7 linked regions of the Callithrix jacchus genome follow. The protein of the gene in region 1 purifies or fractionates together with the protein of each later gene. This does not show direct contact. Links are inferred from orthologs where the notes say so. Each region holds a gene or a part of one and is shown in the gene's direction. Other genes may lie near its edges. The genes, in order: VAPB, OSBPL9, VPS13C, ACBD5, TTC1, RMDN3 and MIGA2.

Region 1 (3,500 bases):
TCTTGCATAGTTTTGGGAAGGGTTGGAGGCACGGAGGGTGGGAATTGCCTTCTTTTTCTGTATCATAACCTTGCTGCTATGCTGGTCTATAATCCTAGAATACCCTGAAATTCCCATCCTCTGCTGCCAAGAGGAGAAGTAATCAGGAGCACATCCTCTTAGAACATGGAATTTAGCTAGGAAGATGCTCTCACTACAGCCTGGAGAGGTGGAGATGGGCCTTGGGGTAGATACAGCCCAGACACTGCCACAGTGTCAGAGGAGGAATTTGGTAATGATTGCGTTTTGTTGGAGGTTGGCAGAGTGGTTCTAAAACCACTCTCAGATAGTATGTGCTTACACTTTCTAAGAAGGATATGCATTTAAATTTTATTTATTATTTTTGAGACAGAGTCTCTCAATGTTGTCTGGTCTGGAGTACAGTGGTATGATCCTGGCTCACTGCAGCCTCTACCTCCTGGGCCCAAGCAATCCTCCCACCTCAGCCTCCTGAGTAGCTGGGACCACAGGCATGTGCCACCATGCTTAGCTAATGTTTTAATTTTTTTGTAGAGACGGCATCTCCGTACGTTGCCCAGACTGGTCTCAAACTGCTGGGCTCAATCAGTCCTCAGTCCTCCCACCTCAGCCTCTCAGAGTGCTGGGATTAGAGGCATAAGCCACCATGCCCAATCTAAAATAAGTTGTATTTTCATATGGAGAACTAAGGTTACCTGTGGTCAGCCAGACATTATTTAGAGGATTCCTTTCAGTTCAGTGGTTGGCCTCTCCCACAGAGTAGCAACATGGGGAGCGTTGGTTGACTTTGAGGAGTCAGGCAGCAAGTCTTCAGGGTTTGTGAAGTGTAATAAATATTCAAGAAGGCAAGTGTATTTACTCTTGTCATGTTACAAATATTGAAATCTCAGCAGACTTTAGTTCTTTATTTGATATACATTGGGGTTTTCTCATTAAGAGTATTTTTCTGAAATTGTCATAGGAAGAAAATTATTCTTCTAGCAGCTTTATAATATCTTGATTATTAAATTTAAATTGTTTTAGTGGAAGGAGGCAAAACCAGAAGACCTTATGGATTCAAAACTTAGATGTGTGTTTGAATTGCCAGCAGAGAATGATAAACCAGTAAGTATGTTTATAGTTAACAATAATTGAATGTTGCAAGCTGATACTTATTTGCATACCATCTCCTGCAAAAAACAAGATTTAAGTTGGCAAATTATTTTCCTTTCTCTGATGTCTGAAGAAAAAAATAAGCTGAAGTCAACAAATAAGTGGGCCTTTAGGAAATCAACCTTTGAAAAACTCGCAGAAAGACAACTGATTGACGCAGTGTTTCCCCTTGAAAAGTGCAGCCCAATGTCCATTGCGATGTCATAAATCCCAAAGAGCTTTTGTGGCCCGGCAAAGGTATAGGTTGCTGTTAAACAGTGGGTGAAGTCAAACAGGGAATAATTTGCCCTTTATTATGGTGCTTGATAGACAGGTGGGAAGCTCTCAGGTTCTCTTGTTCTACAGAGTGCCTTGTCAGCCTCCCTACCCCTTTTACCCTATCTATGTCTTCAGTCAAAGATTGTTTTTAGGTGAGGATCAATCTCAGCACTGTTGACAGTTGGGGTGGATAATTCTTGGTGTTGGAGGTTGCCCTGTGTACTGCAAGGTCTCTTAATAATAGCAGCATCCCTGGCTTCTGCCCTTTGGGTACCGGTAGTACTCCCAAGTTGTGACAGCTAAAAATGTCTCCAGATGTTACCACACGTGTCCTGGAGGTCAATATCAACCCCCCATTGAGAATGATCCCACTCCTGTGTTGCCTACCTGGGAGAAGGCAGGAGCCCCATCCTCTAGGCTGTCTGCTCATGGTCTCTTTCATGGTCCTCACTTGTGACCAGTTGAAGAAAGGAGACTGTAACTGAAATGCTCATTTGGGCTTCCCTTCAGCATAGTCAGAAACATTTTAATTGTCATAAAAACACCAAAACTGAAAACATGCAGCATATGAAACTACCCTAGAGGTTAATAGCTGGAGTTGGGAATAGCAGTGTCCCAAAACGTTCTGTTAACATCATCCATGTTGATCTGCAGGGATGTTGTTGATTTGTGTCAAACTACCTGGTATTTTCTTTCTGCTCAGTCACTTACCACTATCATTACCCTGTTTCTTTAAGTGGTCATTTTTCCCTCTTCCCAGTGTACAGCCTGTCACAGGAAGGTCAGTTTGGAAGTTGTGAAACCTGTATTCTGGCCTCAGCTCTGTGATAGGTTGACTCTGTAGCCTGGGACCTTGCCTTACAGGGCCCACTCTTCTCATCTGGAAAATGATGGGTAGAGCTAGATTCCTGGTTTTCAGTTTGCTACCCAGGTCAGTGATCCTTAGTTACTCTTTCCCTGACAAATTTCATGTTCCCATGCCCTCCCTCTACTGACTGGCTCTCATCCCAGTAAATCTCAAGAAGGGGCTCATAGCTCAGTCTTGGCAGGGGACATGAGGGGAGTATGTAGCTTCTCAAGATTGAAACACTGCAGACACTGAGCTTGTTTCATCTTCATCCCAGCTTCCAAATGCTAAGTTGGTAAAATAAATCGCCCTCGGCGTAAATGCTCTCCCAAGCCTCCTATCCCCACCAAGGCAATCTTAGGGATGTTCACATCTTTATGGTGACAGTAATTTGTGGCTAATAATTCCTGAGCTTGCACAATTACAGTATGCTAAGTTTTGCATGACAGGAATTTGATAGTGCAACATACACAGCCCCTTTTCTCTTTCTTTGAAGTATTAGTCTCAGCCGAACTTCATTATTTTCTCTTATCCATAATTTCTAGAGCCCAGTTGCTTTAGATTATTAAGATACTAGATAAAGTGATCCATTTGAAAAGTAAATGTGACATTTTACAATGTGGATAAAATGCTACTACATTTGGTGTTTGCTGAGAACTACTTTGCATAAAAAAGTCTCCTTTATTACATGGTTGGTGACACTTAGGCTTTCATTTATTTTTTAACAGCATGATGTAGAAATAAATAAAATTATATCCACAACTGCATCAAAGACAGAAACACCAACAGTGTCTAAGTCTCTGAGTTCTTCTTTGGATGACGCCGAAGTTAAGAAGGTTATGGAAGAATGTAAGAGGCTGCAAGGTGAAGTTCAGAGGCTACGGGAGGAGAACAAGCAGTTCAAGGTAATAGTTTATTTTCTGGTAAGCTACAGAGAACAAGGGCGTTTTCACTAGGATCTTGGATGAGGAAGTTGATGAACCAGTAAATATATAGATTTATTTTTGCTTTTGGCATTTGTCTATCTTTTTTCTCCCCGGGAAGAAATTTCCATAGCTTTCATCAGATTCTCAAAAGGGTCCTTGGATCTGCCTAAATTAAGAGCCACTGTCCCTTGATCAGCAGTTCTCAACTGTTTAAGCCCTTGTCCCCTTTAAAAAAAAAAAACAAAAATCTCACACTCTCCATTAGTGTAAATTGAAAATAAATGTTGAGACCAAAATAG
Region 2 (3,980 bases), on another chromosome or scaffold:
ATTTTTCTTATTTACTTGTTTAGTGATTGCTTTCATCACAGAATTTAAGCTCTGAGCTTATTCACTGCTGTATTACCAGGACCTCCAACAGTGCATAGATATTGTAGGTGGTCAATAACTCATTTTTTTTTTTTTTTGAGATGGAATTTGACTCTGTCACCCAGGCTGGAGTGCAGTGGTGCAATCTCGACTCACTGCAACCTCTGCTTCCTGGGTTCAAGCGATTCTTGTGCCTCAGCTAGGACTATAGGATGTACCACCACACCCGGATAATTTTTGTATTTTTAGTAGAGATGGGGTTTCACCATGTTGGCCAGGCTGGTCTCGAACTCCTGACTTCAAGTGATCCGCCTGCCTTGGCCACCCAAAGTGCTGAGATTACAGGTGCAAGCTACGACTGGCCAATAAATACTTAAATTGCCCTTGTAGGCTGTTAGTGATCTAACCCTACTTCTCTGACCTTGTCTCTCACCTCTTCCTCCCTGGTTCACTGCTCCACCTACACTGACCTCCTTGCTGATGCCTCAAGATGACACACTGACTCCTAACATCTGGTCTTTGCATTTGCTATTCCTTCGTCTTGGAAGGCTCTTCCACCAGGCTCCCTCCTTCACTTTCTTCAGTTCTTTGCTTAAAAGTTACCTTCTCGTTCAGGCTTTCCGTTTGGGAATTTAAAATAGCAGGCCCAAGGCTCCCTCTTGCTTATGTTTTTCTCCATAGCATTTATGAATTTTTAATGTACGATATAATTTGCTATTTATTTTACCATTCTCCTCACCTGTCACGAAGGCTCTGCTGTATCCCCAATGACTAGAAGAATATCTAGCACAAAACAGCGACTATTTATTAAATGAATGGATTTGTGGAATGAATTCATGAATGAATATCAGATACGAAATCTTTTGAAAGTGGAATGTATCATCACGGCAAGTAAAATTATTTATTAATATGTTCTTCATGAATAATTTTTTTTTTTACTCTAATACCATGACAGATTATAAATAATTTTAACAGCAGTATTCACGTTTGGATTCTCGCATCCCTGGCAGGGAGTCCAGCACACAATAGGCGCCCAAAGAAAGCGTGTTTGACTTGATCGCTGGGGGCGTGGGTCGGCTAGTCTGCTCAGAGGAGCTTCCGCTGGTTCCGCCCAGGACCCGCCCAGGACCCGCTCCGCCCCGGGAGGCCCCGCCCCCCTCTGCTGAATGCTATATAGACGAGTGACGTCAGGCCGTTTGTTGTCATTGGCGGCTCCTAAGATGGCGTCCATCATGGAAGGTCCGCTGAGCAAATGGACTAATGTGATGAAGGGCTGGCAGTACCGTTGGTTCGTGCTGGACTACAATGCAGGACTGCTCTCCTATTACACGGTGAGTCCTTGGAGGGCTCAGCTTCGGGCGCTTTGGGGCCACGTTTCCTGGGGGACCGGGGTTTTAGGTGGCTGAGTTGAGGTTGCTAGTCTGGGGGTGCCGCCGTACGAGAGGGTTCCCTTATGGGGGAGGGTTTTACCTCTCAGATAGCCAATGAGGGTGAGGGAGATAGGGGCGCAGCCAATAAATAGAAACTAGCTGTCTGATTTATGGGTTGGGAGTGAGCCAAGTTTCTTTTTTAGGGTCTTCTTTAAGCGATGGTGGGGTCCGGCACGGTTGTGAGTGGGTAAGGGTGGTCGTAGCCATGGTTTAAAAGGTCCAGTCGTGTGGTTCATGCCGTCTTCATATGTTGTCATGGACTTTATACTGTCCCACCAAGGCCCTGTAGTCGGCCGCACCCCTTAGCTTCCCTCCTGGGATTGAAGAGCTCTGCTTCCTCGGAGGAGTGGCCGGAGGAGCCGGTACAGGTCCAAAGGTGATCGGCCCTCGGGCAACACCAGGGGGTCCGAAATTCCTCCGGTCTGTTCAGGTTGTGTGTCTCATTCAAGGGACGCACGCCTCTATTCAGCGGGAGGAGAGCTCAAACGACGCTTTAACTTTTGAGAACCGAGGATTTCCTACACTAGAGTCTCTTGTCAGCGCAGAGAGAGAAGGGACAGTGCAGTTTCCCCTTGTAATTATATTCTGCGGAGGGCTGGGCTCAGGGCCTCACTGTTAACATAAGTTGGTGGCCGTGGACAAGTAGATAAATTGTTATGAATCTTTTTTTTTTTTTTTTTTTTTTGGAGACGGTGTGTGTCTTGCTCTGTCGCCCAGGCTGTAGTGCAATGGCGCGTTCTCGGCTCACTACAAATTGCCCCTCCCAGATTCAAGCGATTCTCCTACCTCAGCCTCCCGAGTAGCTGGGATCACAGGTGTGCACTCTACACCCAGCTAATTTTTGTACTTTTAGTAGAGACGGGGTTTCACCATGTTGGCCAGGCTGGTCTTGAACTCCTTACCTCAGGTGATCCTCCCGCCTTGGCCTCCCAAAATGCTGGAATTACAGGCCTGAGCTACCGCGCCTGGCCTCGAATCTTAAGTTTTGACTATCCCTTCCGCCTTCATCGCATTCGATATGGAGGGTGAGTGTATTAGGGAGATAAATTACTTAGAAAGTTACTTTCTCTTAATGGTGTATAGTTAACAATAGCCGAGATGAGGGAAGAAAACATTTAAAAGGACAAAATATAGTGCCCAGAAAGCTTTAGAACAAATAGAAGACAGAAAGAAAAACATATGATTATGGAAGAAGGATTAATGTTCATGAGAGAAAGGGTACACTTAATTTATTTGTTCATTTAAAAAATATTATTGAGCTGGTTTGCAGAAGAAAAGAGACCAAAGTAAAAAATATATATATATAATTGAGTTGGTATGTGCGTTTTCATGCCAGCAAGAATGAACAGTAATAAAGACACTCACTGTTCCTCTTCTGGAGCTTATATACTAGCTTAGTGAGTCCTTTAATTCATTTTATTCCTAATAATTCTGCAAGGTGGTAGTTCATTATCTCCATTTAATATCCCCAGTTACAGTTTTGAAATCTGAGGCTCCAGGCTTTTAAAACAATTTACTCAACATCACATAGCACTAAGAGGTGGAATTGAGATGCCAGATTATTGACTTTTTCTACTAAACTTCACTTTCACTACAGGAAGGAGAAGTGTAAGTTGTGAGTTACTAAAGGCAAGCTTGCAAAAGTAAAAGTATTACTTGCATCATCCTTCAGCTGTCAGCTTTCTTTCTCTACATAGTTTTTAAAGGGAAAAAGACTAAACCGTAATAAATCTTAAACACATTCTTCAAGATTGTCTTTAGGTAGGCGTGAAAGAGAGGCAACTGAATATTATATCCTGAAAACTCTGGAATTATAAAGCCATGGCCTAGATAAAGTAAAAGCAAACTGGGTTTCAGTAGATGTGATAATCAGAAAATCCTACGGACCTTATTCAAGTTAGAGTGATTTCAATTAGTGGCACTATGCAATTAAGTTACTCTTCACATCCCAGATTTGTGTGGATCTGAATCTAGGACCTTACTGGAGAGGCCCCAAGGTGAGGTTCTTGGGAATGCCTAGCCCAGAAAGAATCTTCCTTTCTACTCTTTTTCTTCCTTTCATGTATCCTTTTTCTGCTTTGTTGCCCTTTTAGTTTTTGAGTACTTGGACAAATATCTCCCTGTCTTAATAGCTAAATACAGGTTTAAAAAAAAATTATTTTTTTCCTTCAGTATTTATCCTTTCTGTGACCAGATTCCATAAAACATTATCCTTGCCAGCAGAAGGAAGTGCCATATTTCTCACTAATGGCTATTCAGAAGATTTTTTTTCTCTTCTAGTTCTTTGGTATTAAAGTATTTGCTTACAGAGAAACAGCAGACAATTGTTATACCATCTTGTGAAAGTAAAATGATACCCAGTCTCAAATTAGAGAAGGTTCAGTAAAGGTGGGAAAAAGATAGGTATTTACTTAAAAGGGAAAGTAGGTGGATCACGAGGTCGAGAGATCGAGACCATCCTGGTCAACATGGTGAAACTCCATCTCTACTAAAAATACAAAAACTTAGCTG
Region 3 (3,500 bases), on another chromosome or scaffold:
CTACTGGGCTCAAATAATCCTCCTGCCTCAACCTCCTAAGTAGTTAGGACTATTACTTGGCTCATTTTTTTAAAATTAATTTTTTTGTAGAGAAGGGGTCTTGCTATATTGCCCAGGCTGGTCTTGAACTCCTGGCCTCAAGCAATTCTCCTACCTTGGCCTCCCAAAGTGCTGGGATAACAGGTGTGCACTACCATACCTGGCCTCATCCTATTTTTTAAGTAATGGCAATTATGCAATACTAATTGCTTCATTCAGTTCAGGTACAAGCTTATTCATTCATTTCTTTAATGGTATATAAGAATATAGACCTCACAATTTGAAGATTTGACTTTTATTGCAGTAAGGGCCATTTATAATGTTTCAAACTGACCTGTTAATCATCTGGAAACTGTTTATTTACCTATCTTACCATAGTCTTTAGCTCACTTTTATAGATATTTCAAAGGTATATTTCATAGAGGACATCATTTAAAAACTATTATAGCAGAAAGAAACATTTTAAATGTACTAAATGTGCATTATTACTTAAAGATTTGGTGTGATGAAATTCATCAGAACTGCTTAAAGTACTTTACCAACGTGTGCAGACTTCTCATAGTTCAGAAGCATCTTCAAAAGAGATTCTTAGCTAATTTAGTTTTGCCTTTTTGCTTTTAGAATAATAGCAGGCTGTAGTTAAACATCCCAAGTTAAGTAAGACATGGTTCTTGTAAGTGTGTGTTACGTATGTAATGGATCTATGGAAATGTGAACTTCATTTATCTGTTTATAGGTCTTGCAGCCCTGTTCTTTATTTATGGAAAAATGTATGTGGGCTTCAGGAAAACAAAATATAAATATCAAGGTTAAAGAATTTATAATTAAGGTTAGTACTTACCATATTCTTTGAGTGAAAATTCTTATTTTTCTCACAGCATTGCGTATTTTGCAGTTGAGACAGTATCTTTTGATGTCTCTCATAACTCAAGCACTGTGCTAGTCATATTCAGTAATAAGTAATTTCTAACACTAAAGTGTATTTTTCTTTAACGCAAATGTTTGCTTCTATTTTCTTTAAAAGAGTACTTTTTACTATCTACAAATGATCAGGGTAGTTTTTTCTATTATATTTACATGTATGTGTTAGGGAGGTTGAGTTGGATGAGGAAAGAGACATGGGGTGGGAGGGAAGATAAGGGAAGAAAGGATGGAGAGAAGAGGTTGTTATTACTTTATTTGTAATAAGTCATTTTTAGGCATTATTTGATATATAAGTTGATTGAATTTAATAACTATATGATCAAATTTTTTATTTGGCTTCAAATATTTATAATGACACCTGCACAGTACAAATAATTATTACAGTTTACTGCTTTTTACTCTACATTTAAAGTATTGAGAAACATTAATTGTTTTCAGTGCCATTGAAATAATTGTTTTCCAGTGGCATTTAGATTCTTTAGTCTGACCTCGTGCCCAGTCACAAATAGAAGATATAGAATACTTTCTGCAATCTGTTTCTCTGTTTACACAAAGGATACAAAAATGAGTCCTTTTTTGGTTAATTGCTTAATTTTTGCTTAATTGGTTAATGCCAGTAATGGTAGTGGCTTTACTTACATATGTCCGTGACCAACAGTGGTTGAACTAAGGCTGAAACTCATTTCATTTGAAGTACCATGTAAATATTAATTTATTTTTTTCTCAACATTTTAAAATACCGAATAGTCTTAGAATGTATATTGTTAATGGATTTACTTTAAAAAATATATAAAATAGTAAATGGGGGAAAAACTTCTTGAATTTTCTTGTATTTTCTCTTAAGACATTAGGTTAGGTGCTGTGAAGACTCTACATTCTTTGTACATAAATTTATTGACTTATTCAACAAACATTTTTGAGCTTTTACTCAAAATGTTTACTCAAATGTATAAAAAAATGTCCTTTACAAGGCATTGGGAATTCGTAGCCCCTGCTGTCAAAAAACTTACTGACATGTGGGAGAAAGAAAGAAATCAGTGATCATAGCTCTCAGTGCTAAAGGCATGGACAAGGTTCAGTTGGGAGCAAAGACATGGGGCCTTTCATTCAGACCAGAACATCAGGGAAAGCTGTGTAAAAGAAGGACTATTTGATCTGAGTTTTGAAAGTCTAATGGAGATTAAATAGATGGAGAGCATGGAAAGGTTTATCCAGACAGAATTGATAATATGCACAAAGGCAGAGGTATGAAAAAATCCTTTTAAGACTTGGGGGGGGTGGTCCCATATGGCTGGAGAGAATGGTGTGGTGGAGTTGTAAGACCGGAAGCATTAAATAAGTGACGTTAATAAGACAAGGAAAAAAGTTGACAAGTACATTAGGAAAGCAGTGCACACTAGATCCTGCTTTTGTTGATGTAATTGTATCTCTTTACATTTTAAGTAAGGATTGTAGGAGAGAGTAATAAAGGAATACAGTTAACTTATTTAACCTAGTATTTCTGGGGAATTTCTGGCTAGCTGGTTGGATAGGCACTAGGCCACAAAGAGCATTGCACATTAAGCTAAAGAGAGTTTGAATTTTATCCTGTGGGTTAAAAAAGTTATGGAAAGTTGATGAAGATTTTAAGCATAAGAATGACATGCTCAGATTTGGGTTGTAGAAGTATGCTGGTGGCGTTGTGGAGGGTTGGCGGAGAGAGTGTTGGACAGAGAAGGCATCAGCAGTGTAGACCTCAAGTTACAATAATAGAAAATGAGGGAAGTGAGCGAAGAAAGGCACTATCCAAAGACAGCAAGAGGTAGGATCTGCAGATCTTGGGGTGAGTCAAAGGACAGCTATGAGTTCCAGTCTTCCAGTTTTATTAAGGCGGACGGAAGCAAATGCATATCTTCTTTTATTTTTTTAAGATCTTGTTGTGTCACGATATTTATGTGTGTCTTGACAAGGATCACACACTTTGGTTTAGTTAATGCAGCTGATTTTAAAATGAAGAATTTGTTTACATTTCTATACTTGTCTATTCACATCACACTGTTTTGGTCTGAACTGCTCAGTTTAACTCTAGATTTTGACTACTGACAGGCGACGTTAGTTGCTTAATTCCAGTTAGTTGACTTGACACATAATTTTGTGTTCTCTCTTGTTTTCCTTGGTTATGAAATTATTTAAAATTTAAATTAGTTACTTTTTAATTTAAAAAATCATGTATGCATATATTGTCATCTGGGAAAGAATTTAGCCTAAATATTTTTCTGCTTTTTTTTTTTAAAGATTTCACCCATAATTCTTAATACTGTGATGACAATCATGGCTGCACTGTCTCCAAAAACGAAAGAAGATGAGTCCAAAGATACAGCTAAGGAAATGGAAAATCTTTGGGGTGTCAAATCGATTAATGATTATAACACTTGGTTTCTTGGTGTTGATGTGGCAACAGAAGTAACGGAAAGTTTCAGAGACATCGAACATTCATTGATAGAGGAAAATTGTGCTGTTCTTGTAGAATCAGTTCAGGTTACCTTAGAATGTGGCCT
Region 4 (3,500 bases), on another chromosome or scaffold:
CTCTGCTGTATAAAGGATTGTATCATTAAAATACTGTACCTATTAGGTATTCCTAAATGTACACATATTATACAGATAATTATTATTGTGATTTGAGAATTAATCATAAACGCTTGGCCAAACTGGAAACACCAGCTGTGTGGTAATTTCCACAGCTTTTTTTTTTTTGAAATGGAGTCTTGCTCAGCTGCCCAGGCTACAGCAGTGGAGCAATCTTGGCTCACTGCAACTACTGTCTCCCAGGTTCAATCAGTTCTCCCTTCTCAGCCTCCCGAGTAGCTGATTACAGGCACCTGACATCATGCCCTACTAGTTTTTTGTATTTTAGTAGAGATGGGGTTTCACCATGTTGGCCAGCCTCGTCTTGAAAAGTTTTTTGTATTTTAGTAGAGATGGGGTTTCACCATGTTGGCCAGCCTCGTCTTGAACTTCTGATGAGGATCACTTCACTTCAGGTGATCCACCCACCTGGGCCTCCCAAAGTGCTAAGATTACAGGTGTGAGCCACTGCTCCCATCCCACAGATCTTATAAACTGCTAGGTTATTCAATTTGCAAACTTTAAAAAATATCTTGTTACAATTTTTATTTTTATAATTTTGTTATAATATACACTGATGTTTAAAACCTTTTTATTGATTTCCAGTATCTCTGAAGATCACTTAAATTAAAAAAAAAAAACTTTTAAAAAATAGATGAAAAGGAAAATAATCTGTATACTTACTATCCAGAGATAGTCTTTAAACATTTTGATGTTTATCTTTCTACTGTACTTTTTATGTATATAAATATTTTGCAAAGATATGTCATATACGTTGTTTTTAAACTTATTTTTTTTTAATGTATAGTAGATCATGGAACTTATACTATTATTTATATTTTTCTACAATATAACTTTTTAGGGCCACAGTTATAAATTATGCTTTTATAGTTAATATCATAATTATTTAAACAGTTATTTCCTATAAAACATTAACATTCCAATTTTTCAATTATTGAGAATATTGCAACTTATAGCACTTGCTTATACAATTTGAATTTTTTTTTTTTTTTGAGACAGGGTCTTTTTCTGTCACCTAGGCTGTAGTGCAGTGGCGTGATCACAGCTCACTGCAGCCTTGACCTCCCAGGCTCAGGAGATCCTCCCCGCTTAGCCCCCTGAGTAGCTAGGACTACAGGGTGTGCTATCACACCCAGCGAATTTTTTTTTTTTTTTTTTTTGTAGAGACAGGGTTTTGCTATGTTGCCCAGGCTGGCCTTGACCTCCTGGGGTCAGGTGATCTGCCCACCTCAGCCTCACAAAGTGTTTCGATTACAGGAGTGAGCCACCACACCTGACCAATTTGAAAATTTTAAACATGTAAAAAGTTATGGATATGCTAGAAACATATATGAAGAATTATTCTCAAAGAAATTGATATTTCTAAAATTACAGAGGTAGGAGTGAAAAATCTATTTTATCTTGGATTAATTATTTTTCTACCATAGTATATACTATTTGGCTTTAGCCCCAAATTCCTTATATACTGATAATTTGAAATTTGGCAGGGTATACATGTAACTTTTTCACTTATGCTAGTCAGTTTTGGTTTGTCATAAATTTTGAATAAAAATACTCTTTTTTCAATGGTTGCATAATAATAGTTATTCTATATTTTAGTATATTTTTAAAGAGACATTATTAGCTGGTTATTCTGGTTATATCTACAGCATATCTCTTCATTTATTCTTTTATTTATTGAACCATCTTAGCCATTGCTATTAAAATCTAAAATCTCAGAGTGTTTTGAAATCAAAGAAGCAAGCAACTAACAGAGCCATAATTTTTGTTTCTATAAGATAGAAATCAATCATTATCTAAAGTATTAATGAAATATAAAATCACTATTAGTATAGCTAAGGTAATTTATAACCTTAGATTATCTGTTGTATTCCCCAGATGATCTATATATAATGTTTTATATTGTGTGTTTACAACAGGTTCATTCCAGCCAACAAATGAAATGATGCTTAAATTTTATAGCTTCTATAAGCAGGCAACTGAAGGACCCTGTAAACTTTCAAGGCCTGGATTCTGGGATCCTATTGGAAGATATAAATGGTAATTTTTTGTGTAGAGCAAGAATTTAAATTTTAATGATGTAATTAACATATGGTTACTACTTAAGTGGTTATATATTATTATGTGCAGAAAATGTCCTAGGTATTAGGTACAATTTTTATCCTCCAGGTTTTTTTCTTTTTTTTTGTCGCCCAGGAGGGAGTGCGGTGGCAGGATTTCGGCTCACTGCAATCTCTGCCTCTTGGCTTCAAGCGATTCTCCTGCCTCAGCTTCCCGAGTAGCTGGGATTACGGGCTTGCTACCATGCCCAGCTAATTTTTGCATTTTTAGTAGAGACAGGGTTTCGCTATGTTGGCTAGGCTGGTCTGGAACTCCTGGCCTCAAGTGATCACTGGCTTCAGTCTCCTAAAGTGCTGGGATGATAGATAGGAGTGAGTTGCCATGCCCAGCCTCTCCAGGTGTTCTTAATACAGTTTTACACAAACAGGAAAATCCTGGGAGGAGAGGAAAACAATAAAACCAAATGGGATAGGTGCATCCAAGGTAAGAAACATTTCAGTCAATCTTTATTTTTATGGAGTTTCCCCCCCTTTTTTTTTCAAGCCAAGAGCAACTCCCAACCTAAGTTAAAGAAACAAATTTCACTGCCTCTTTTACCTGCCAAGAAAAATAATGGCTTTTGCTTGTTTGTATTGAGCGTTTAAAAGAGTAAATAGCTAGTAATATGACTCGGGTACTGCCATGCTAACTTTTTATGTAAGCTGTTACTTCTAACCTACTATACTTGAATAGAAATTTGATTTTTTGAATACTTAAAAGAATTATAAACTAAAAAGTATACTTAAAAGAATTATAAGCTGGGCGAGGTGGCTCATGCCTGTAATCCTAGCACTTTGGGAGGCTGAGGTGGGTGGGTCACCTGAGGTCAGGAGTTCAAGACCAGCCTGGCCATCATGGTGAAACCCCATCTTAAAAAAAAAAAGAATTATAAACTATAAATTAAAAGAATTATAGACACAAATACCTGTACCTGTGCTGTTTTCCCAGTTGACTAACAGTTGATATTCTTAATGCAGTTGAAGCCTTAACAAATGTCTGACAAAAGTCTTTTAGACTGTACATTATGAACAGAATATGTAAATTGGTAAAGCATGTTTTAACACCCACACTAGTTTTTTGGACACAGGGTCTCACTCCCATCACTCAGGCTGGAGTGCAGTGGCACGATCACGGCTCACTGCAACCTCTGCCTCCTGGGCTCAAACAATCCTCCCACCTCAACCTCCCTAGTAGCTGGGACTACACACATGTGTCACCACACCTGGCTAATTTCTAAAAATTTTTTCTAGACATGGGGTTTGTCTATGTTGCCCAGGCTGGAGTGCAGTGGTGCTGTTTTGGCTCACTGCAGCCTCTACCTCCCAGGTTCAAACGTTTCT
Region 5 (3,964 bases), on another chromosome or scaffold:
AGTCTCAAACTCCTGCCCTCAAGATATCCTCCCATCTCCATCTTCCCAAGTGCTAGGATTACAGACATGAGCCACCACACTCAGCCTCCCTTTACACTTTTTAAATTCTGGGTGTATTTCTAAAAATTCAGAAATATTAAAACCTAAAATCTGATATATTGTTGATGTTTTAGTACATAAAGTTTTCAACTTACAATAAATACAACTGTGTGCATAACCTAATTTAGATGTAAATTCAAAAAATAAGTTTCATACTCTTCCTGAAAGGCTCTTCTAGCTATCTATCTCTGAAATAGGGTCTGTGAATTACAGAAAATTATCTGCTGTCATGGCTGGTTACTGTCTGGCTACCCTGAAGATGGGTACTATATTTCAATTCTGTGATCCCAGCACAATGCCCAGGGTCTAATAATATTCAATGAACATTTCTCGAACGACCATATAGGGCAACCACTTCCGGTCTCAGCATTCCCTTACACTCAAAATTATTGAGGTTAGTCTGAGTGCAGTGGTGTTTACAACTAACTGATCACAACCACTTACAGATCTTTTTTATTTCTTCTCCGTTCTCACTGCTTCAGTTGGCTAGCCATTAAAAAATAAAAATGGGCCGGGCGCGGTGGCTCATGCCTATAATCCCAGCACTTTGGGAGGCCAAGGAGGACGGATTTCTTCAGTTCAGAAGTTCAAGACCAGCTTGAGTAACATAGTAAAACTCCATCTGTAATAAAAATACAAAAAATTAGCCGGAAATGGTGGCGCGCACCTGAGGTCCCAGCTACTAGGGAGGCTGAGGCAAGAAAATCTCTTGAACTCCGGAAGTTGAGGCTGCAGTGAGTCGAGGCTGTAATTGCGCCATTGCACTCTAGCCTGGGCGACAGACCGAGACTCTGTCTCATAAATAAATAAAGAAGAAAGAAAGAAAGAGTGAAACCAACACCACAGGGATAGACTTCTTTTTGTCCTTTTTTTCCCTCTTGTGCAGAGTAACGCGTAGTCTTGCCATAACCCAAGATGGCAACTTTCTCTCAAATGTCACTCCGTATAACGACGTCATACAGCGACAGTGCCTTTCCTCCCTGAGAATTTCCACTACATTTCCCAGGATGCTTTGCCAATAGCGACACCATTAGTCGTCATAGACGGAAGTGCACCTGACTGAGCGGAAGTAGAAGGTCTCGGAGGCTAAGAAGGTGGAGACCGGAGAAGCTGAAAGGTTGTGAGTAACCCCGTGGGTCTAAGCGTCTTGGCTGCTAGGAACGAAGTTAGGGAATAATCTTCTGGGAAGCGCGAGGCGTCACTTTGCTAATCCTAGGAGTTCAGACTCCTGCGTTCTTCTAGTAGACCTGGGAACAAAGAGAAACAAGACATTGCTGTGGAGGCTAAGTCTCCGTATTAACATCTTGCTGGTTTTTAAGTTTTCTTGGAACAAATTAGGGCGAATTCGGACTCCTATCGTGACACAAGGGTCGTTGGCTTGGTTTCGCTGCCACTAGAGCAATTTACATTTTTGCATATCTCTAGCTGCTGATGGTCTGACTCAGCTTCTACAGCAGTGGCTCGCAATTGGCTGCATATTAGAATCACCTGGGATGCTTAAAAAAAAAAAAAAAAAACTGATGCTCTTGCTTGACGCCACACTAATAAATCAGAGTCTGGTCAGGTTCTGAGCAGTGGTATTTTCTAAAGCATCTCTAATGATCTTTTTGGCTGCTGAGGTTCACAGTCACTCTTTTTAATGCCTGACTCTGACCCTGATTAGAGTCACCTGCGCCAGGGCTCTCCTTCCACTGTAAGCTGCTTGGGCTCTACCACACGCATTTGGGTTAAAGTGAACACGATTTTGGCACGGATATTATTTTGAGGTCCACTAGAAACGTATTCTTGGGCTTCCTGCGGTGGTGCTAAAAAGACGGATCGTAATTTCTTACTCATGCCTTGGTTATTCATTCTGAATGGAGATTAGATCTGCTTCCTTTTCCTTGTCACTGTTTTAGTTTCTGCCTAATTTTTGCCATCCAAACAGAACGCGAACAGTGGAACATGGAAGAGTCACATTAAAAACGGCTTCTTTTGTTGCTTATAAGAAGTTCAGGGTCAGGCTCGGTGGCTCACGCCTGTAATCCCAGCACTTTGGGAGGCCGAGGCGGGTGGATCACGAGGTCAGGAGTTCAAGACCAGCCTGGCCAAGATAGTGAAACCCTCTCTCTACTAAAACTACAAAAATTAGCCAGGCACGGTGGCAGTTGCCTATAATCCCAACTACTCGGGAGGCAGGAGAATCGCTTGAACCGAGGCAGCAGAGGTTGCAGTGAGCTGAGATCAGGCCACTACACTCCAGCGTGGGTGAGGGAGTGAGACTATGTCTCAAAAAAAAAAAAAAGAAGTTCTGGTACCAGATTTGACCAGGAAAAGGGTGTCAGTTAAAATGACGTTTGACATTATTATTACTTACAATAAGCTATATTTTTAAATAATGAATTCCAGTGAAATGAGGTTAGGATGTTTTTTGGCTGTGATGCAGAGGTTTGTTTAGGTTTGAAACAGAACTTTTAAAAATATGAGCACCATTACATAGCAGGTGTTTTGTTTTGTTTTCCCCCAGCTTTAGCGTTACCTCCCTCACTGGGCAGCATGGGGGAGAAGTCAGAGAACTGTAGGGTTCCAGAGGATCTGTTCAATGGTTTGAAGGTTACAGATACTCAGGAAGCTGAGTGTGCTGGCCCTCCAGTTCCTGATCCCAAAAATCAGCATTCCCAGAGTAAGCCGCTCAGGGATGATGAGGCCCATCTCCAGGAGGACCAGGGAGAAGAGGAGTGTTTTCATGACTGCAGTGCCTCATTTGAGGAGGAGGCAGGAGCAGACAAGGTTGAGAACAAATCTAATGAAGATGTGAATTCCTGTGAACTAGATGAAGAATACCTAATAGAACTGGAAAAAAACATGTCAGATGAAGAGAAACAGGTAAGTATTTTGTTTATTGTGGAAGATCTGCTACTTACACTGCATTTTAAAATAATGTGGTCAGTACTGCATCATAGACCACCTCAGTTGTGGTAAAGAATGACTTGCCCTTTGTCATCTTATTGTTTTAGTAGTGATTCATCTGAGATAAATCAGTAGCATGACAGGGAAGCACTGAGTGTGTCTGCTTAGCAAAGAAATTTTCATTTTTTTCTGTGAACCTTGAGTTCTATGTTCATCTTATACTTCAGGAGTCTGTAACATAATAGTCCTTTTGTTTCATTATTTTCAAAATGTATATATACTTTTTAGGTTTCATTTATGACCTTTTCTGTGGTTGGCTGCTGAAATTTCTGTAATGAACATTTTTATGTTTATACCACATTATATTTATGCTATATTTATGCTTATGAACATTTTCTGTTTATGCTTATCCCTTGTTAGCAAAATGGGACTGCCTGAATATCTTGGTGGAGTTTGGGTTGCAGAGGTCTTGAGGAACATAATTGTGTTTGATTATAGCTAGCTGTTGTTTGTTGAAAGCCTACAATGTGCGATCCACTGACTTAAAATGTTACTTGTGTTTTTGTTGGTTTCCACAACATGCCTATGAGATACACACTTAGCATTTCCCATAAGGAAACAGCTTAGAGTGGTGAAGTAACTAGCCCAAGATCAAACACCTAATGAATTGCAAAACTAATTCTCAAATCAAATCTGTTTGATTCCAAAGCCAGAGTATAATGGAGAATGTAATAACAAAAACATCTGTCTTTCTACAAAGCAGATAAACTAATAAAATGTACAGTCTCCTGCTTCTTTGCTCTGGGGCTACACCCTTAACTGGGCAGGCCTTCACTTTTGGAGACTGAAGTCTGCTGTCCTACTTTCTTTTGCGTGCACAAGCTAGGTAATCTGTGGAGAGTTACTGTAACATCTTGAGTTTGTCTACAAAGAACTTGAACAAGATTGTAGTTTCTGCCACTAACAAGCTTACTCA
Region 6 (4,078 bases), on another chromosome or scaffold:
CGGTGAAGTTTTATTCCTTAAACTGTGACGTGGGTACCTCAGTATTTTACAGTGCTTCTTAACAATGTATGTATACTTTAAATGTATTTTTTTTTAATTAATTAAGAGACAGGGTCTCACCAGGTGCAGTGGCTAACGCCTGTAATCCTGGCACTTTGGGAGGCCGAGATGGGCGAATCACGAGGTCAGGAGTTCGAGACCAGCCTGGCCAACATGGTGAAACCTCATCTCTACTAAAAATAAAAATAAATTTAAAAAATTAGCTGGACATAATGGCGGGCGCCTGTAGTCCCAGCTACTTTGGAGGCTAAGGCAGGAGAATCGTTTGAACCCGGGACCCGGCGGAGGTTGCAGTGAGCTGAGATTGCGCCACACTGCACTCCAGCCCGGGTGACAAAGCAAGACTCCGTCCCAAAAAAAATAAATAAATAAATGAGAGAGAGACAGGGGTCTCACTCTGTTGCCCAGAGCCGAGGGTGTTCATGGTTCACTGCAGCCTCTACCCCCTGGGCTCAAGTGATCCTCCCACCCCAGCCCCTAGAGTATCTGGGACTAATCACATGCCACAACCGCAGGCCTCCTGCATTCTTGTATGTATACAGTGTCTCACAATTAAAGGGTAAATAAACATAAGATCTAGTCAAGTGTATTGGGAGGACTGGCCTAGATATTTCTTCTTTCACTAAACTGAAGAAATGTTCACAATAAAATTGTTATCACAGTTCATAAAATCGGCGTTTTTAGTTGCCAACATTCTAAGAAGTCGCATACAAGAGTAAAATGGAATTATTAGATGGCACGTTATGTTTAAGATTTATGGCCGGGTGCGGTGGCTCAAGCACTTTGAGAGGCCAAGGCGGGCGGATCGCTTGAGACCGGGATACCAGGACCCAGTCTCTACAAAATAAAAATAAAATGTGGGGAGAGGGTGACGTTTTCCAGAAGGGGAGGTCCAGGCAGAAGCACAGGTAGAAAGTGTGAATATGCTGAGCGTATTCCGGGAGCAGCAAGTAAGCCGGTGTGACCGGAGGGAACTGCAGCTCTGGCTGCCGGACACCGATGGTGACTGCGTGAGCGTCCAACCAAGAAGTCTCCTGCTTTCCCGCTTTTCCCAAGCCTTCTGCCCCTTTCCTCTTCCCTTTCGCGCTCTGTGCTGACTCCGCCCCTCTGGCGTCACTCATCGCCCCGCCCCTAGGGGAAAGGAGGCGGGGTCGTTATTGTCATCTCCCTGCGCCTTCCCGCGGCGCGTCTAGATGCTGGCGCCGTCTGCCTGACGTCACAGTCACGGATAGCGTGAGTCCGCGGCGGCTGCTGCCATGGTTGCTGGCTGCCGGGTAAGGGTCTGAATTGATCTCTTGCCAGGCCAGAGCTCCTTCGGGGGCTGCGGGGGAATACCAGGAGTTTGCAGCTAGGGCGGCGGGTTTGTGGTCTGCAGTGTCGTGAGGCCGAGGTGGGGGTCGAAGGCCCAGGAGCCGGACTCTGAGCCGGGTCGAGGGGTATGCTGAAGCGGCTGTTACGTCCAGGTTGGGTGAGGGGAGCGGCAGTGGGGCCCTGGGGGCTGGAGGAAGCTTTAGGGTTCACACTGGGGTGCAGGGAGTCGGGAGCTCAGGGTTTGGGCAAGGGGATGTCTGCTGGGGTTCGGCCTGGGGGAGGCTTTGCCAGGCTCACGAATCTCTCTCTTCCTACCCCTGCCCGCCCACCTGGGCGCCTGCCTGCCTGCCTGCTCCCGGTGGCTTCTGCGGGCCGCAGGTACAGCATGTCTAGACTGGGGGCCCTGGGCGGTGTCCGTGCCGGGCTGGGACTGTTGCTGGGTACCGCCGCCGGCCTTGGATTCCTGTGCGTCCTTTACAGCAAGCGATGGAAACGGACCCGGCGCCGTGGCCGCAACCAGAGCCTGCCCAACTCCCTGGACTATACGCACACTTTAGAGCCCGGACGCCAGGGTAGGAGCCCATCCCGAGACCGCAGTCACTGCAGACTAATGGGCCTGGGGTCCGGGCTGCTTTTGGTGGAGGCCGTGGGACTGGGCAACGGAGGGAGGTGCCTTAGGGTTTCACTGTTCTGGAAGCTTGTTGAAAAATCAGTCGTCAGGCTGGGCGCGGTGGCTCACCGCTGTAATCCCATCACTTTGGGAGGTCGAGGCGGGCGGATCACCTGAGGTCAGGAGTTCGAGACCAGCCTGGCTAACATTCAACCAGATTTCAACATGGTGAAATCCTGTCTTTACTAAAAATACGAAAATGAGCGGGCGTGGTGGCATGGCCTGTCATCCTAGCTACTGGCGAGGCTTAGGCACGAGAATTGCTCGAACCCGGTAGGCGGAGGTTGCGATGAGCAGATTGCACCACTGCACTCCGGCCTGGGCGATAGAGTGGGACTCTTGTTTGGAAACGGTAGTTTGGAAGTCTCAACGAGCAATCACCTTAGATTGCAGTTGATTGTCAGCATTTTCTAACCTGGTGATAATTGAGCCTGCAGATTGCACCACTGCACTCCGGCCTGGGCGATAGAGTGGGACTCAGTCTCAAAAAAGAAAAGGCAGTCGTCGTTTTCTGTACTTTTTCCCCTCTATTACCAAGAAAATATATTTCAAAAAGTCTGCTTAGCTTTCACTTTTAGTTCTGGCCACAATAGTGCTATGCGGATATTAAAGGCACTTGATTAGTGTTGTGTGAGGTGTGTAGTAAGTAGAGGAAGAGTCCAAAAGAGGGCAAAAAGAGTCTTGTAGGAATTAAAAGTCTTGAGGCTTATGTATTAAATCGTATATTAGAATTTGAAGGCAACTTGGAAACTATCTCATTCAAGTTTTTTTTTTTTTTATCTGTCCTATGAGGAAACCGAGATTCAAAAAGATTGTGTAACTTTCCTGAGGCGGTCACAGATTAAGTGGAAAGGTTGGGCTTGGTCACCTGGTCCAGTGGACTTTGTACGGCATAGGGCTAGGAGCACGCGTCATGAAGTTGAAGCTGAGTGTGGCTGGCAGCCTGCAGAGCTGAAATGAGTAGTTCTTTCAGATTTGCAGAACTTTCCTTGTTTGAGCAAAGTATCTAGGGCTGGTTCACACTACTACCGTCTTTGTTTGAGAGGAGTGTTTCTTTTTTCTTTTTCTGTTTTTTGAGACAGTCTCTCGCTCTGTTGCCCAGGCTGGAGTGCAGTGGCATGATCTTGGCTCACTACAACCTCCACCTCCCAGGTTCAAGCGATTCTCCTGCCTCAGCCTCCCAAGTAGCTGGGATCACAGGCATGCATCACCATGCCCAGCTGATTTTTGTATTTTTAGTAAAGATGGATTTCGCCATATTGGCGAGGCTGGTCTCAAACTCCTGACCTGAAGTGATGCACTGGCCTTGGCCTCCCAAAGTGCTGGGATTACAAGTGTGGGCCACCGGGCCTGGCCGGGGGAGTGTTTAGATTATCTCACCCCCATGCTAATTGGAAATGAGTGTTTTCTCTGATTACCAATGTTAGCTTGTTTGGAAAAGGTAGTTTGGAAGAGTCTCAACGAGCTATCACCTTAGATTGCAATTGATTAGCAGCATTTTCTAACCTGGTGATAATCTAGTATTGCAAGTGTGCTTCCTTCCGTTTCCTTGTCGTTTGTTTGCAATTGCCCAGCTATAGTCTTCCGAGATGAGAAGAGAGTGGCCACATTCACAGGATTCTTTCTTGCTCTGCATTCTTGAACATTATTGGCTGTGTGTTGTGGCCTGGCCTAGTTTACCAGATTTCCTTTAAGAAGGGATTTTGCTTGATGTATGTGGATCCTGCCTCTCTGGTTTCTTTCTTGTTTTTGTGTTTTCCAGTCCAGTTACCATAGGTGGCTCTCACTTTGGTAGCATTTCACTGCTGGAATTTACTCAGAGTGAGATTTAGGGTTGGGTCCATGGGGCTTAGTAATGGTGTCTTTATGAGATGGTTTGAATGGGCTTTTTCTGGTATACCTTTTCTTTTAGCAACTGGCCCCTTTCTCTTAGTGGGGGGCAGTTACTAAGTTCTGGGAGAAGCTCCAGGTTTTCCCTGCTATTCTTTGTGAAGTGAGAGATCAGAATTTGAGGGAGCTCCATTTTAGTTTTGCTGT
Region 7 (2,892 bases), on another chromosome or scaffold:
ACTTCCTGAGCCACCACACCCCGGCCTCGTGCAGTTCCCACAGTGGCCCATGGTTACCATCTGCATAAGTTAAAATGGGCTTTGAAAGCTCAAGTCACTGCCCAGGGCCATCCAGCAGGAACGTGCATGAGCTGAGTTGACCTCCAAAGCGTGGCCCTTTATGCCACACCTGGGCCTGGTGCCCTCATCCTACCTGGGCCCAGCCTGGCCCCTCAGCCTTGTTGCCACTGCAGGTGCCCGATGGCTTCATCTCCCACTTCTACTCCGTATCGGAGCATGTGAGCCCTGTCCTAGCCTTTGGCTTCCTTGGACCCAAGCCTCAGCTCGCTGAAGTCTGTGCTTTCTTCAAGGTAAACGGAGCAGTTTTTGTTCTTTTCTGACCACTGCCCTGGGCACAGGCACCCTGGGAGGTGCCAGGAATGGGGTGAGGGCCTGGGCCTGCTCCCAGAAGGAGGGCGGAGCTGGACCCACGTGGGTCCAGAGGAAGCAGCGGGAGGGAGGAGCCTGGGGGTGGAGAGGACTGGCTGGGGCTCTGGTGGTGGAGAAGGGGGGTGGGGTGACCTGGAGGGCATCATGGTGGGCAGCAGCCCGGGCCAGGCCTGACGCTAGCCCTGTTCCCGCAGCACCAGATCGTGCAGTACCTGAGGGACATGTTTGACCTGGACAATGTGCGCTACACGTCGGTGCCCGCGCTGGCAGACGACATCCTGCAGCTGTCCCGGCGCCGCAGCGAGATCCTGCTGGGCTACCTTGGGGTACCCCCCACCAGCAGCACAGGCCTGAATGGAGCGCTGCCCCGAGAGAATGGGTCCCTGGGGGAGCTGCAGTAGAGGCTGTGTGGGCTGGAAGCAGCAGAGAAAAGGCTCTTCCTCCCTTCCCTGGGTTGGTGGCTGATGGCCGTGGTGGCTGAAGGCGGTTGCCCCTGACCTTGCCATCCCCATCATGTGGGAGCCCCCAAAGCCCAGAGGGGAAATTTCCATGGAGAGGGATGGAACAGTCCCTGGGGGAAGCAGAGGCCAGGACAGTGGCCAGTGGGGCCTGTGGGAGAGAGAGGCAGTGAGAGAGGGGGGCGTTGTGGAGAATTGGGATAAGCAGAGCCAGGATGCCCCAGGTGAGGTACCACAAAAGCTCTCATCACCCCAGGGCTGCTGACAAGGGGGCTGGGATGGTAGAGGTGAAGGAGGGGTCTCTGTGCCCTGTAGTGAAGGTCACAGTGTCCAGAGCTAGAAGCCACCTGTGGCTCCATGGTCTCAGCATCCAGGCATCCGGCTGGCCTGTCCTGATGGCCTCCCCATCTTGGCCACATTCTCAGAGACTTTGCAACTCCAGAGGAGGAGAGTAGGGCCACCTTGGTCGGCAGCAGGCTCAGGCCATCCAGAGGTGGAACAGAGGTGTGGGGGCCTCCCCATCCTGTGCTCTCTGGGAGGGGACAAACCCAAGCACCAAACCAGGACATTGTCCTTTGACATTCCCTTGCCCTGCCAAAGATCGTCATTTCTTCTCCCACCTTTGCCACCACCAAAGACGGGCAGAGGTGGGGTGGGTCCTCCTGCCTCTGCCCATCCCCCTTCTGTGAGCCTGGACCTCCCTGGGTGGTGCTAGGCTCTGAGCTGGGGACTCTGACCAGGATTTGCTCAGGCCTGTCACCTGTGGGCCCAGGGACCACGTTGGGGGAGGTCAGAGGATGTTTGTGGCTGGACCAGCTTCCCCACCCTCATTAGTACAAGAAACTGCTCAGCACTTTGCCTTCAGTTCAACGCACAAATGCTCCTAGGTCCTCATGGGGGCAGAGAGCCTCCCCTGGGCCTGCAGACAGAGTTTTATTAGCAGGACCTCACGCCGCGGGATCCTGTCAGTGCGGCAGGCTCACTTCTCAGTATCTTCACCTGAGCAGGTGTCTGTGACCCTAATGCATTCTGTTGAGGCCTGCAGGAGAAACAGACTCCCCTCCTGGGTTTCCAAACTCAGGCGTCAGAGGACTGGCTCCTGCGACCGGGGCCCTGCTCCTCCGAATGGGAAAGGGGTCCGGGGGTGGGAGGGTGCAGCATGGAGGGGAGGGGAGACAGTGCTGGGGCGGCCCGTCATCTGTGAGCCCTTTCCCAGACTCGGGATCCTTGGGCACTAACCTGCCTGGACAGGAAGGACCCTGTGCCCCCCGTCCACCCTGAATCCTGACATCCTGTTCATCTGCACTTGCCCTGTGCTGTGAATGTAATGGTGGCCTTGGCCCCGCCCCGTCATTTGCTCCCCAGTGAACAGATACGACATTTTCATTTGTCTTTGTTTACACATCTGTGCACTGCCTGTAGCAGTTGACTGTCGCAGCTTCTGACTTCGGATGGTAGAGTGTGTGCACTGACTGTGAGTCAAATAAACACTTGAGACGACCTCCTTCCACCTTGCCATGTTGGTTATGTGCGTGGCTGTGTGCTTCTTGGGGCACAGCAGGCCCAGAGCCAGTGGGAGCCCCTCCAAGCTGGCTCCTGGGTCCTTTTGGTCCCTACCCCCCACATCAGTCTTGGAGCACTTCCCATCTCAGAGCAGAACAAGATGTCCCAGGAGGCTCAGAATCCCAGAGATCAGAGCTGGGAAGACCCCAAGGGGAAGCCTGGACTGTTTGGCGGACTGTCACAATCAAGGCTCCCAGAATTGCACCTCTCAGGACTCACATCCTATCCAGTCCTCTCCCACAGCAGAGCCAGGCTTGGCTGTGTGACCTGCTTTGGCTAGCAGAGGCCTGAGCTCTGCTGTGTTGGGACGTGGCTTCTTGGAAAGTAGCTGCTGCCATACAAGACACCTGGGCTCCTTTGCTGGGGAAGCCACGTGGAGAACAGAGGCACCCTGGCCAGCAGCCACAGCTCATTGCCAGTCTTGAAGGTCCTCTTGGGCCAC

Evidence for each region.
Region 2: the proteins of VAPB (region 1) and OSBPL9 purify together in Homo sapiens (affinity purification with mass spectrometry; 7 studies listed by BioGRID and IntAct, counting the BioPlex papers as one, with this or other methods). This does not show direct contact. The link is inferred for Callithrix jacchus from reciprocal best matches to the Homo sapiens genes VAPB and OSBPL9.
Region 3: the proteins of VAPB (region 1) and VPS13C purify together in Homo sapiens (co-immunoprecipitation; 3 studies listed by BioGRID and IntAct, counting the BioPlex papers as one, with this or other methods). This does not show direct contact. The link is inferred for Callithrix jacchus from reciprocal best matches to the Homo sapiens genes VAPB and VPS13C.
Region 4: the proteins of VAPB (region 1) and ACBD5 purify together in Homo sapiens (affinity purification with mass spectrometry; 4 studies listed by BioGRID and IntAct, counting the BioPlex papers as one, with this or other methods). This does not show direct contact. The link is inferred for Callithrix jacchus from reciprocal best matches to the Homo sapiens genes VAPB and ACBD5.
Region 5: the proteins of VAPB (region 1) and TTC1 purify together in Homo sapiens (affinity purification with mass spectrometry; 4 studies listed by BioGRID and IntAct, counting the BioPlex papers as one, with this or other methods). This does not show direct contact. The link is inferred for Callithrix jacchus from reciprocal best matches to the Homo sapiens genes VAPB and TTC1.
Region 6: the proteins of VAPB (region 1) and RMDN3 purify together in Homo sapiens (affinity purification with mass spectrometry; 4 studies listed by BioGRID and IntAct, counting the BioPlex papers as one, with this or other methods). This does not show direct contact. The link is inferred for Callithrix jacchus from reciprocal best matches to the Homo sapiens genes VAPB and RMDN3.
Region 7: the proteins of VAPB (region 1) and MIGA2 purify together in Homo sapiens (affinity purification with mass spectrometry; 3 studies listed by BioGRID and IntAct, counting the BioPlex papers as one, with this or other methods). This does not show direct contact. The link is inferred for Callithrix jacchus from reciprocal best matches to the Homo sapiens genes VAPB and MIGA2.

Annotation. Positions count from the first base shown.
Region 1 is NC_133506.1:54,024,950-54,028,449, forward strand, and holds part of VAPB (vesicle-associated membrane protein-associated protein B/C), read left to right. Parts: intron 1-1,041; coding exon 1,042-1,122; intron 1,123-3,003; coding exon 3,004-3,180; intron 3,181-3,500. UniProt on the Homo sapiens protein: Endoplasmic reticulum (ER)-anchored protein that mediates the formation of contact sites between the ER and endosomes via interaction with FFAT motif-containing proteins such as STARD3 or WDR44.
Region 2 is NC_133508.1:88,545,038-88,549,017, forward strand, and holds the start of OSBPL9 (oxysterol-binding protein-related protein 9), read left to right. Parts: upstream 1-1,180; 5' UTR 1,181-1,205; coding exon 1,206-1,370; intron 1,371-3,980. UniProt on the Homo sapiens protein: Interacts with OSBPL11 to function as lipid transfer proteins.
Region 3 is NC_133509.1:8,786,673-8,790,172, reverse strand, and holds part of VPS13C (intermembrane lipid transfer protein VPS13C), read left to right. Parts: intron 1-775; coding exon 776-868; intron 869-3,237; coding exon 3,238-3,500. UniProt on the Homo sapiens protein: Mediates the transfer of lipids between membranes at organelle contact sites. Necessary for proper mitochondrial function and maintenance of mitochondrial transmembrane potential.
Region 4 is NC_133508.1:27,282,064-27,285,563, forward strand, and holds part of ACBD5 (acyl-CoA-binding domain-containing protein 5), read left to right. Parts: intron 1-1,979; coding exon 1,980-2,100; intron 2,101-3,500. UniProt on the Homo sapiens protein: Acyl-CoA binding protein which acts as the peroxisome receptor for pexophagy but is dispensable for aggrephagy and nonselective autophagy. Binds medium- and long-chain acyl-CoA esters.
Region 5 is NC_133503.1:22,816,581-22,820,544, forward strand, and holds the start of TTC1 (tetratricopeptide repeat protein 1), read left to right. Parts: upstream 1-1,164; 5' UTR 1,165-1,216; exon of another isoform or gene 1,217-1,219; intron 1,220-2,605; 5' UTR 2,606-2,634; coding exon 2,635-2,964; intron 2,965-3,964.
Region 6 is NC_133509.1:45,816,674-45,820,751, forward strand, and holds the start of RMDN3 (regulator of microtubule dynamics protein 3), read left to right. Parts: upstream 1-1,278; 5' UTR 1,279-1,334; intron 1,335-1,749; 5' UTR 1,750-1,756; coding exon 1,757-1,943; intron 1,944-4,078.
Region 7 is NC_133502.1:177,645,688-177,648,579, forward strand, and holds the end of MIGA2 (mitoguardin 2), read left to right. Parts: intron 1-233; coding exon 234-350; intron 351-623; coding exon 624-830; 3' UTR 831-2,392; downstream 2,393-2,892. UniProt on the Homo sapiens protein: Regulator of mitochondrial fusion: acts by forming homo- and heterodimers at the mitochondrial outer membrane and facilitating the formation of PLD6/MitoPLD dimers. May act by regulating phospholipid metabolism via PLD6/MitoPLD.